Mus musculus: one gene and its partner. The protein of the gene in region 1 interacts with the protein of each later gene in a pairwise test. Links are inferred from orthologs where the notes say so. Each region holds a gene or a part of one and is shown on either strand. Other genes may lie near its edges.

The links.
Region 2: the proteins of Dazap2 (region 1) and Bag3 interact in binary tests that used the Homo sapiens proteins (3 or more experiments, as listed by UniProt). The two-hybrid records come from large-scale screens. The link is inferred for Mus musculus from reciprocal best matches to the Homo sapiens genes DAZAP2 and BAG3.

What each region holds. Positions count from the first base shown.
Region 1 is NC_000081.6:100,614,160-100,618,762, reverse strand, and holds the start of Dazap2 (DAZ-associated protein 2), read right to left. Parts: upstream 3,102-4,603; 5' UTR 3,052-3,101; coding exon 3,039-3,051; intron 2,714-3,038; exon of another isoform or gene 2,441-2,713; intron 1,851-2,440; coding exon 1,732-1,850; intron 839-1,731; coding exon 593-838; intron 1-592. UniProt on the Homo sapiens protein: In unstressed cells, promotes SIAH1-mediated polyubiquitination and degradation of the serine/threonine-protein kinase HIPK2, probably by acting as a loading factor that potentiates complex formation between HIPK2 and ubiquitin ligase SIAH1.
Region 2 is NC_000073.6:128,536,747-128,540,677, reverse strand, and holds part of Bag3 (BAG family molecular chaperone regulator 3), read right to left. Parts: intron 706-3,931; coding exon 367-705; intron 1-366. UniProt on the Homo sapiens protein: Co-chaperone and adapter protein that connects different classes of molecular chaperones including heat shock proteins 70 (HSP70s), e.g. HSPA1A/HSP70 or HSPA8/HSC70, and small heat shock proteins (sHSPs), e.g. HSPB8.

The DNA.
Region 1 (4,603 bases):
TAGAATGACTCCTAAGAAGATGCCCTTTGCTAGAACCTTGTGGGCTACAAACCCCATACACAGTGTCACTGAGCAGGAGGACCTGGAAAATAAAACCTACTTACTAGGGACCGTGCATTCTACTTTCTTAATCATCTGGGTTCCTAGTACATTCCCCACTCATGGCAAATATTAAATGCTTATGAACTCACCAAGCAGCACCCCTGGACCAGTTCACTGTGCCTGAACAACTGAAAAAGGAGCTAGCAGTCTTTTTAAATTTATAGACAGGGTTTCTCTATGTTGCCCTGGCTGTCCTGGAACTCGCTCTGTAGACCAGACTGGCCTCAAACTCGGAGATCCCCCTGTCTCTGCCCCTAAGTGCTAGGATCAAAGGAAGATGCCACTAATTTAATAAGACAAGAAAACAAATCAACCTGATTAACTCTAAAACCAAGGGCTGTGTCCAATGCCCTGATTGGCCCGGCCACATTTCTGCTCTGAGAGGGCAGCAGCTGTGCCAGCCCTGACCACTATGGTTGGAGAATGAATATGAAGTCATTTCAGACTGTTCAAGTATACAAGGGCTGAGCTCCCAGTTAGGCATACTCACAGGAATGTTGCCAGCAGTGGCACCAGCTCCAAATCTGGCACCTGCATCATACCCTCCTTCCACCAACACTGCTGAGCCAGGTGGATAGATGGGACCAACTGGATAATAAGCCATGGGGATTGTGGAGCCTAGAGGCCCAACAGCCACAGACTGGGCCATAGGCAGATACAATGAGGCGCCAGGAAATGCAGCTGACATGGTGGGGACTGTGGCAGCCCCTGGATGAACAAAGCTTGGACGATAGAGCTGAAAGAAGCAGAAGAGAAAGCAAAACATTATTTTTGTGACATTCCTATTTGGAATCTCTTTAAGTATTATTGAGACCATCTCCTGTAGCTCAGGCTAGCCTTCAAGTATGTAGGAGTGGATGACCTTGAACTCCTGACTCTCCTGCTTTACCTCTTGACTATGGAATTAGAAGCCTGTGCCACCAAACCCAGTTCACATTGTGCTAGGGACCAAATCTAGGGCTTGGTGCATGCTAAGCAAGCATTCTACCAAATCAGGTACATCCCCAGCCCCTTGTTTGGTTTTGGAAATGGGGTTTGGTTATACTGGCAGCCTTGAACTCAGCTTCCTCCTGACTCAGCCTCTCAATGCTGAGACTACTCGCCTGTACCACCACGCATGGCTCATGAGTCCATTCTTAGTTGTTTTTTTTTTTTTTTTTTTTTTTAAGATTTATTTATTATATGTAAGTACACTGTAGCTGTCTTCAGGCACACCAGAAGAGGGTGTCAGATCTCATTACCAGTGGTTGTGAGCCACCATGTGGTTGCTGGGATTTGAACTCAGGACCTCTGGAAAAGCAGTGCTCTTAACCATTGAGCCATCTCTCTAGCCCCTTGTTCCTAGTTCTTGTGTTTGCAGATTACACACTGGTTATAGTCACTGGCACACAGTATTCTGAGTCATTTGCGTCCACAGCTACTATTGTGCTCAAGGGACCCAAACTCAGCTTAAGTCAGCATGTGTCAAATAGCATAATCAGATACTGCATTCAATTCCAATGGTAATTTTCACCTTAAGTTCTAGATGATTCACAGAGCATCCTTCTGCTTGTGAAGTCAGATTTGAAGACTTAACAAGGGGATCCAAGAGTGTTCTCAACTAGCTACAAGTCTAGGAAACTGCAGTACCTCTGAATATGCAGGTGGAGCATCAGTATAGGGTGGAGCCTGAGGAAGATGTAAGGTCTGAGGATATACTGGATTCCCAGGAGGTTGCACAGGGTAGGTAGGCTGTGTTGGATATTGACCTGGAATACAAAAGGGGAGGAGAGATGTTGTCTGTCAGATTAGGAGGGGAGGTGGCAAACAGGAAAGATGCTCAGTGTGTGAGACAAAGTGCTGCTCTTCCTGAGGACCCCAGTTCTATTCCCAGCACCCACATATGACACAACCTCCTTTCAACGCTACCTTCTGCCTTGGTGGGCACCTACACTCACACTCACAGACACTTACACAGGCAGAGGCAGGCACACTTTGAATAAAAACAAGTTTGTAAGCAGAGCTACTAGACGGGCCAGGGTGCACAGGGTGGGGAGCAAGCAGAAGAGCTGCAAATAAGGCTGCCTTATTTCTTAGAGCCAGGAAAATAAGGATGGTCTCGGCACCCTCGCGCCCGAAGGTGCTGGCTTCTGACTGGGCAGAAGGCGCCGTTCCCACTAGCATACTGATTGATGGAGGCTAACTTGGCCATGTTCCCTTTCGAATAGAGGGCAGGTCTGAGGACCCGTTCCGGGGTCTCCGGACTGCTGGTGTCTTAGGGGACTCCTCTGGGTGATCTCCCCCGGGCTGTGCTGTAACCAGTCCTGACTCTGTGGGACCCACGGTTCTCAGTGTTTACCTCACGGGTTCCTAGTCAAGGTCGACCTCCAAAGAGTGAGTGACTGGAAGTTAACCGTGAGAAGGGCGGCGGGTGGAGGGGTGGGGAACGCGACCATGTTCTCACAAACATTAGCAACGCACAGGGGCGGCTACGAGTCCGGGCCCCGAGGAGGAAGCGCCAGAAGTCCCCGGCGGGCGAGAACGGGTCCTCGAGGGCCTGGGCCGTGCAGCGGAGCCGGCACCTCAGCAGTTAAGCTCGGCCGAGGCCTGTTGTTCCGAGGCGCGGCGCCCCGCCTCCGCCCGCCCTCCATTGGCTTCCCCAAATCCCTGCTCTAGCTCGCCATTCGCTCCAGCCGCTGTCCGTCACGGAAAAGCCCCCCCACCCCACACACAGGAGCCCGCGGCTCCAAACTGCGCCACACGGTTTATGGGGTCGGGGCCCAGAGGGCCGAGCGGCTGCGTTGTGGGGGTGGAGGGGGGCGGCCACGTCAGGTGCGGCCGCGCTGTGCGGCCCGCTGAAGAGAGCCGCACAGACCGCCCCAGGCCCGACGTCCCCCAGCCCGCTCGACCCGAACCCGCCCGCTTCCCCGACGGCCCCCGCCACTTCCCGGCCTTGCCTTTGCTGTTCATGGTGGCTCTGAGTCCGCTCCCACTCGGCGTCGCGGACGGTTATTTTTCTCGTCCTCTTCCTGTTCGGAGTCACTTCCGTGTCACGTGACGTTCGTCCACTCTGCGTCAGGAGATGCCCGAGTGCGCCGCCGCCGGAAACCCCGCCCCCTCGCAGGCCGGCCAGTCGCGGCAAGGAGGGCGCTCGCGGCCCTGCTCTGCTCGGAAGCCCCGCCCTCCCCGCGCGCTCTGCCCTCACGGCGCGCGCCTCCTCTGGGCTCGGCCCCGCCCCTCCCTGCGCGGCTTCGCCCTCACCGCGCGCTTTGCCCTCACTAATTGCCCCGCCCTCCCTGCGAGGCCCCGCCCTCCTCGCTCTCCCCGCGTTCCTTGCTCTCTCTGCGCGGCCCCGCCCTCACCGCGGTCCTTGCTCTCACCGTGCGCCCCGCCCTTATCACGAGCCACTCCTTCCCGCGCGGCCCCGCCCTCACCGCACCGCTAGCCCCGCCTCCCTGAACGCTCCGCCTTCACCGCGGGCTCCTCCTTTCTGCGCGGCCCCGCCCTCCCTGCGCGACCCCTCCCTCACCGCGCGCTCCTCCTTTCTGCGCGGCCCCGCCCTAAAGAAAGCGGAGTCAGCTCATCTCAGGGCGACTTCCTCACTGTGAGTCGCCTCTGCTCACCAAATTCAGGTGTGAACACAGGCTGTCACGACTCCACAGTGCCTGCGAGACGCAGCCCAGACCTCAGACCTTAGCCTGTCCGCCGTTCTGGTCCTTCCAGGCCTCTTGTTGAGGGCCCAGCGCCTGGCTTCGTGCTCGGAGATGGACCGTGTCCCCGCGCCCCGCCCCCTGTCCTGAGATAGACCGTGCCCCAGCACAAGCTGAGGGGACGCAGCCAGCACCTGCACCCTGGCCTGGCACGTCCTACGGGGACCTGAAAACTCCCTACAGATGTTGTGAGTGGTTTAGCCCGCGCTCAGTTGTCCAGAAGAGTAGCGACGACGTCTCTTAGGACAGTGATCACATTTTTTCCCGTTTCCTCGTTCCAGAATATCTGCTGAGCAACCGAACGCGCTCTCATAGATGCACAGAGGAACCGACCGCCGCAGCTGTCTGCAGAAGTTCGTGTTGTGCGTGGTCAAGTAGATGGGCAGGCTTTGGAGGGAGAGGTCCTTGGTGAACGGACTCCTGATTCGTCCGACACCGAAGGCCTTGCTTGTGTGTCAGGTGTCTATTTAACAGTTTGCGTGGCGTCCTGTAAATGCAGTTTCGTCCAGTCGGCAAGCACAGCAGCCTGAGAGGCTGATCTAGTTCAGCCTGGGGACCTGCGCATGAGTGTCATGGGTTCACGCCGACACACATATAAAAATAAACATTCGAGAAGAAAAGAAAAACTGATCTAAAGGACAGGTTACAGACTTGAGTTTTGTGTTCGGCCTCCCAGGTTCCGGGTCAGTATTTCCATTTTGGTTTCCTGTCAGCACACAGAGCATCCCCTAACTAGGCTGCGCTAACTAAAGGATGTTAGGGAACTCTCTTGGGTATTTTTTAAGTTCCCATTAAGTATTTATATTAATTTG
Region 2 (3,931 bases), on another chromosome or scaffold:
TGGTTGATGTCCACCCGAAAGGACTGAACAGAGTAACTCTGAGCTCTCTGTGAAGCAGGGAGCCCAGTGTGAATAGGAACACTGATGAAGGAAGCGAGGCAGTTGCTCTGAGCTGTGAGACCCCTACCGCTATGCATTTCGATCATGCAGTTACCATGTTGGCGTCAATTCTTCTACTACAAAAATAAGCCATGTGATCTCTGGCCATCTGAAAAATACAGGCGTAAGATACGGGGACAATGTGAGGCCGCCAACCAACTCTCTAACGAGAACCACTGAGGCTGCAGGCTATGAGCCCTGGGTACTACCAGGCAGGTTGCTGGCCCAGCACAGACTGGGTCTCTGGGTCTCTGGGTCTCTTCTTACCTCAGGTCCATGAGCAGTTGGGGGCTGAGCTGCTGCAGTTGTTGCAGTTGCCGGCATCTGTCCACACTGTTTATCTGTCTGGGCGGCTTCTGTCATGCCGCCACGTAAAGGAGACTGGGACCTCTGCGGAGTGGCCGCTGCAGCCTCGGTACGAAATCGCTGCACCCCAGGCTGGGAGTAGGCATGGAAAAGGTGGGGCTGCCGGTTCTCGGAGCCTTCATGGAGGACGGGGATGGGAATGTAGCCTGGTCGGAGCTGGGGGTATATGGGGTGGCCTTCCCTAATGGGCAGCAGGCGGGAGCCATCGCGGGAAGGGCCATTGGCTGAAGATGCAGTGTCCTAACATAAAGTAAGGAGGAACAAAGACTGGTTAGAAATGTGGCAGAGCAGTCCCTGAGTAGGAGGGTGGTGCTGAGAGTCTCGGATCTTCCTGGGTGACATGGGCCTCACACTTCAGTCAGGCTGAGCACAGGGGGCCAGACCACTCCACTGCTCTGCTTTCTCCAGAGTCCCAGTCTACTGTGTGAGCGGCACTTTAAGGTTTAGGGGGACTGGAAATGGTGGTCATGTCTTTAATCCCAGGACCTGAGAGAGGTAGAAGTGGGCAGGTTTCTGTGACTCTGAGGCCATTCTGGTCTACAAAGTGAGCTCCAGGCTGGTCAGGGCTATATACTAAAACCTGTCTCGTGGCACACCAAGGAGTCAAAGTATCAGTTTGAAGTACAAGAGAGGTCTGTTTCTCACAGTGGTGAGAGAGGTTTTTTTCCTGGGTGACAGCAGTGTAGACAGCAGATAGTGGCAAACCACCCCTGTGCATCTTCAGAGGGTGAAGCCAGGTGACCCCAGGAAGACTCAACTCCAGTTACAGCAGCACACTTCTCAGCTGCCAATATTTCTCATCTGCACAGCTTGTATTTGATCAATACAGAATGTAGCTTGAAAATCTTTCTGGAAAAGAATGTAAGCATGTGCTCTGTGTGTGCTGTGTATGTGTTGTCTGTGCTCTGTTCTGTGTGTATGTGCTGTGCTGTGTATGTGCTGTTCTGTGTGTTGTCTGTGCTCTGTGTGTGTGCTGTGTGTGTTGTCTGTGCTCTCTCTCTCTCTCTCTCTGTGTGTACTCTGTTCTATGTGTTGTGTATGCTCCGTGGTGTGTTGTCTGTGCTATTTTGTGTGTTCTGTGCATGTACCGTGTATGCTCTGTGTGTTGTGTGTAATCTGTGTGTGTGTTTCAGGAGCTAGCTAGCTCCTTGGAACTATTTTTAGAACAAGCTGTAGGAAAGGAGATGCACTGGAATGCAGAAGTGGTGCAAGAAGAGAACAAAACCAGGGGATTACTCGCCAGTCTTACAAGGCCAACTACTAAGAGTCTCCGCCTGGCTAACTTTATAGCAAGGCTACTGGGCTTTCTCCTAGGCCCAGCTACGTGTTTCCTTGTAAAATCCAGCTATTGCAAAAGAACAGCTAAATCAAGCCAACCAGAACCTCCTTGTTCCCAGCCCACCATGGTGGATAGCCCAGGTCTGGCCACCTCCAATCCTCCCCAGATGTCTGTCCATCACCCTTGGATGGTCAGAATCCTGCTAGGTCAGTCTGGTTAGACTCCCCCTTGCCTTCGATCAGTTTTCCCCTTTGGATGCTATGCTGTCCACCTGTCCCACATTGTGCTTTGTCTGCGCTCAACAGGGAGCCAGCTGAGCTCATCTCTCCCTACTCGAGCAGCAGTGCTCTGTCTCAGGGCTCCCAGTAAACAGTTCCTTGGCACGTTTTGAAGAAGCACCACAGAACCTTTTCCCCCTTCGGTACAATAAACCCTGTTTGGCCCGAGGGCAGTTGGGGGTCCTTCCTGTGTCCTCACATGAAGTTGTCCCTTTAGAGGCCTGGCTATTTTGGGACCCTTGAGAAGGCCAAGTTCCAGATGTACCTCTGGGCAGATCTTATTTCAGACACTGAGGCCAGTCAGCCACTCACTGGGCAAGGACATCTCTCTCCAACCAGAGTCTGTGCAACTTTGTCTCCCAGTGTCCCCTGAACAGGAGAGTCCTTCCATAGACGAGGGAGCTGGCTGTGTCACCTGTACAGATCCCACTAGGATATGGGAGTAGGTAGTGGCTCTGTTTGGGAGGGTAAGCCTTCTTCAGGGAGGTAGCTCTCCAAATGACAAACAAAATGTCAAAAAAGCTGGGAATCTGTGAGCCCAGGGTGTCAACTTCTACAGCTGCAGAACTGGGCAAAGGCCAAGGCCAGACCCTGAGGGTTGGTTTGCATTTTGAGTGAAAAGACCATTAATTCTTCCATGTCTTATATTTATATACAGGTTTAGACACCAGGTGGCTGACCCTGGAAGGTGCCCCTTTCAGCTTCTCTCCTGCTGAGACCTTGCCCCTGGAGGGCCTCCAGAATACAGAAAAGGCAAGGGTGTCACTGTGTCCTTGGGGAGAGGGGCAGACAGGCACTTGGTACTCTCAGATTAGAATCCCCACGTGCTCAGGACACCAGCGTTATTTTAGCTTGCTTAACTCTCAGGTCACCCAAGAGCTGGGAGTAGATCCAGGCCTCACACAGAGAAAAGGGCCCAGTTCTTGATCGGAGGTGTACACCATGGGGAACTGGCAAGAGACAACGAAGAATCCTGTCATAACATGTTTTCTAGGCAGTGTGTCTACTCTTGGGGACAGGACCCTTCTTTCCAGTTGAAATCAGACTTTGCACAGTCCTGTCATATGTTCTCTGGGGACTTCCTGGACTTACTGTTTGTTCTGGCCACGAGCAGAGCCTCAGCCACTACCTACTCCTCAGATCTAGGCACCTAGAAGGCCTGAGCTAGCCTCATCTACAAGTTCCGGTGAACATCAAACTACTACTCAGATAGGCCCCAGGAGTGATCAAAGCAACAACATATGACCCTTGATAGTATGTAAGGAAATCCTGGGTTCAACTCCAACTATCATATAAAACCAGGCGCATATATACAACCCCAGCACTTAAGAGGCAGAAGCAGGGCCGGGCGGTGGTGGCGCACGCCTTTAATCCCAGCGCTTGGGAGGCAGAGGCAGGTGGATTTCTAAGTTCGAGGCCAGCCTGGTCTACAAAGTTGAGTTCCAGGACAGCCAGACCTATACAGAGAAACCCTGTCTCAAAAAACAAACAACAACAACAAAAAAAAAACAAGAGGCAGAAACAGGAAAGTCACAAGTTCAAGGTCATCTCCAGCTACATAATGAGTATGAGGTCAACCTTGACTACATGGGACCCTGTTCAAATATTAGACAAGTCAATGCATGGAACAAACAGGAAACACCTGAAGAGCAGGGGAGGCTGAGGTACAAGGGGAATGTGGGGCTGTCCCACAGGGAGGCTAACCTAGCTAGGATCCAAGCTCCGTTTTACTACCGATTAGTGAGCATGGATCAATCCCTTACCCCTGCAAGCCTTCATTTTCTTTTCTGTAAAACAAAGCAGGCCACAAGCACCGTGTGGAACTATGGTGAGGCTGACTGCAACAGGGCCGGCCTCACATGTAGCCCAGGCTGATCTCAATTTCCCATCTTCTTGTTTGAGTCACCAG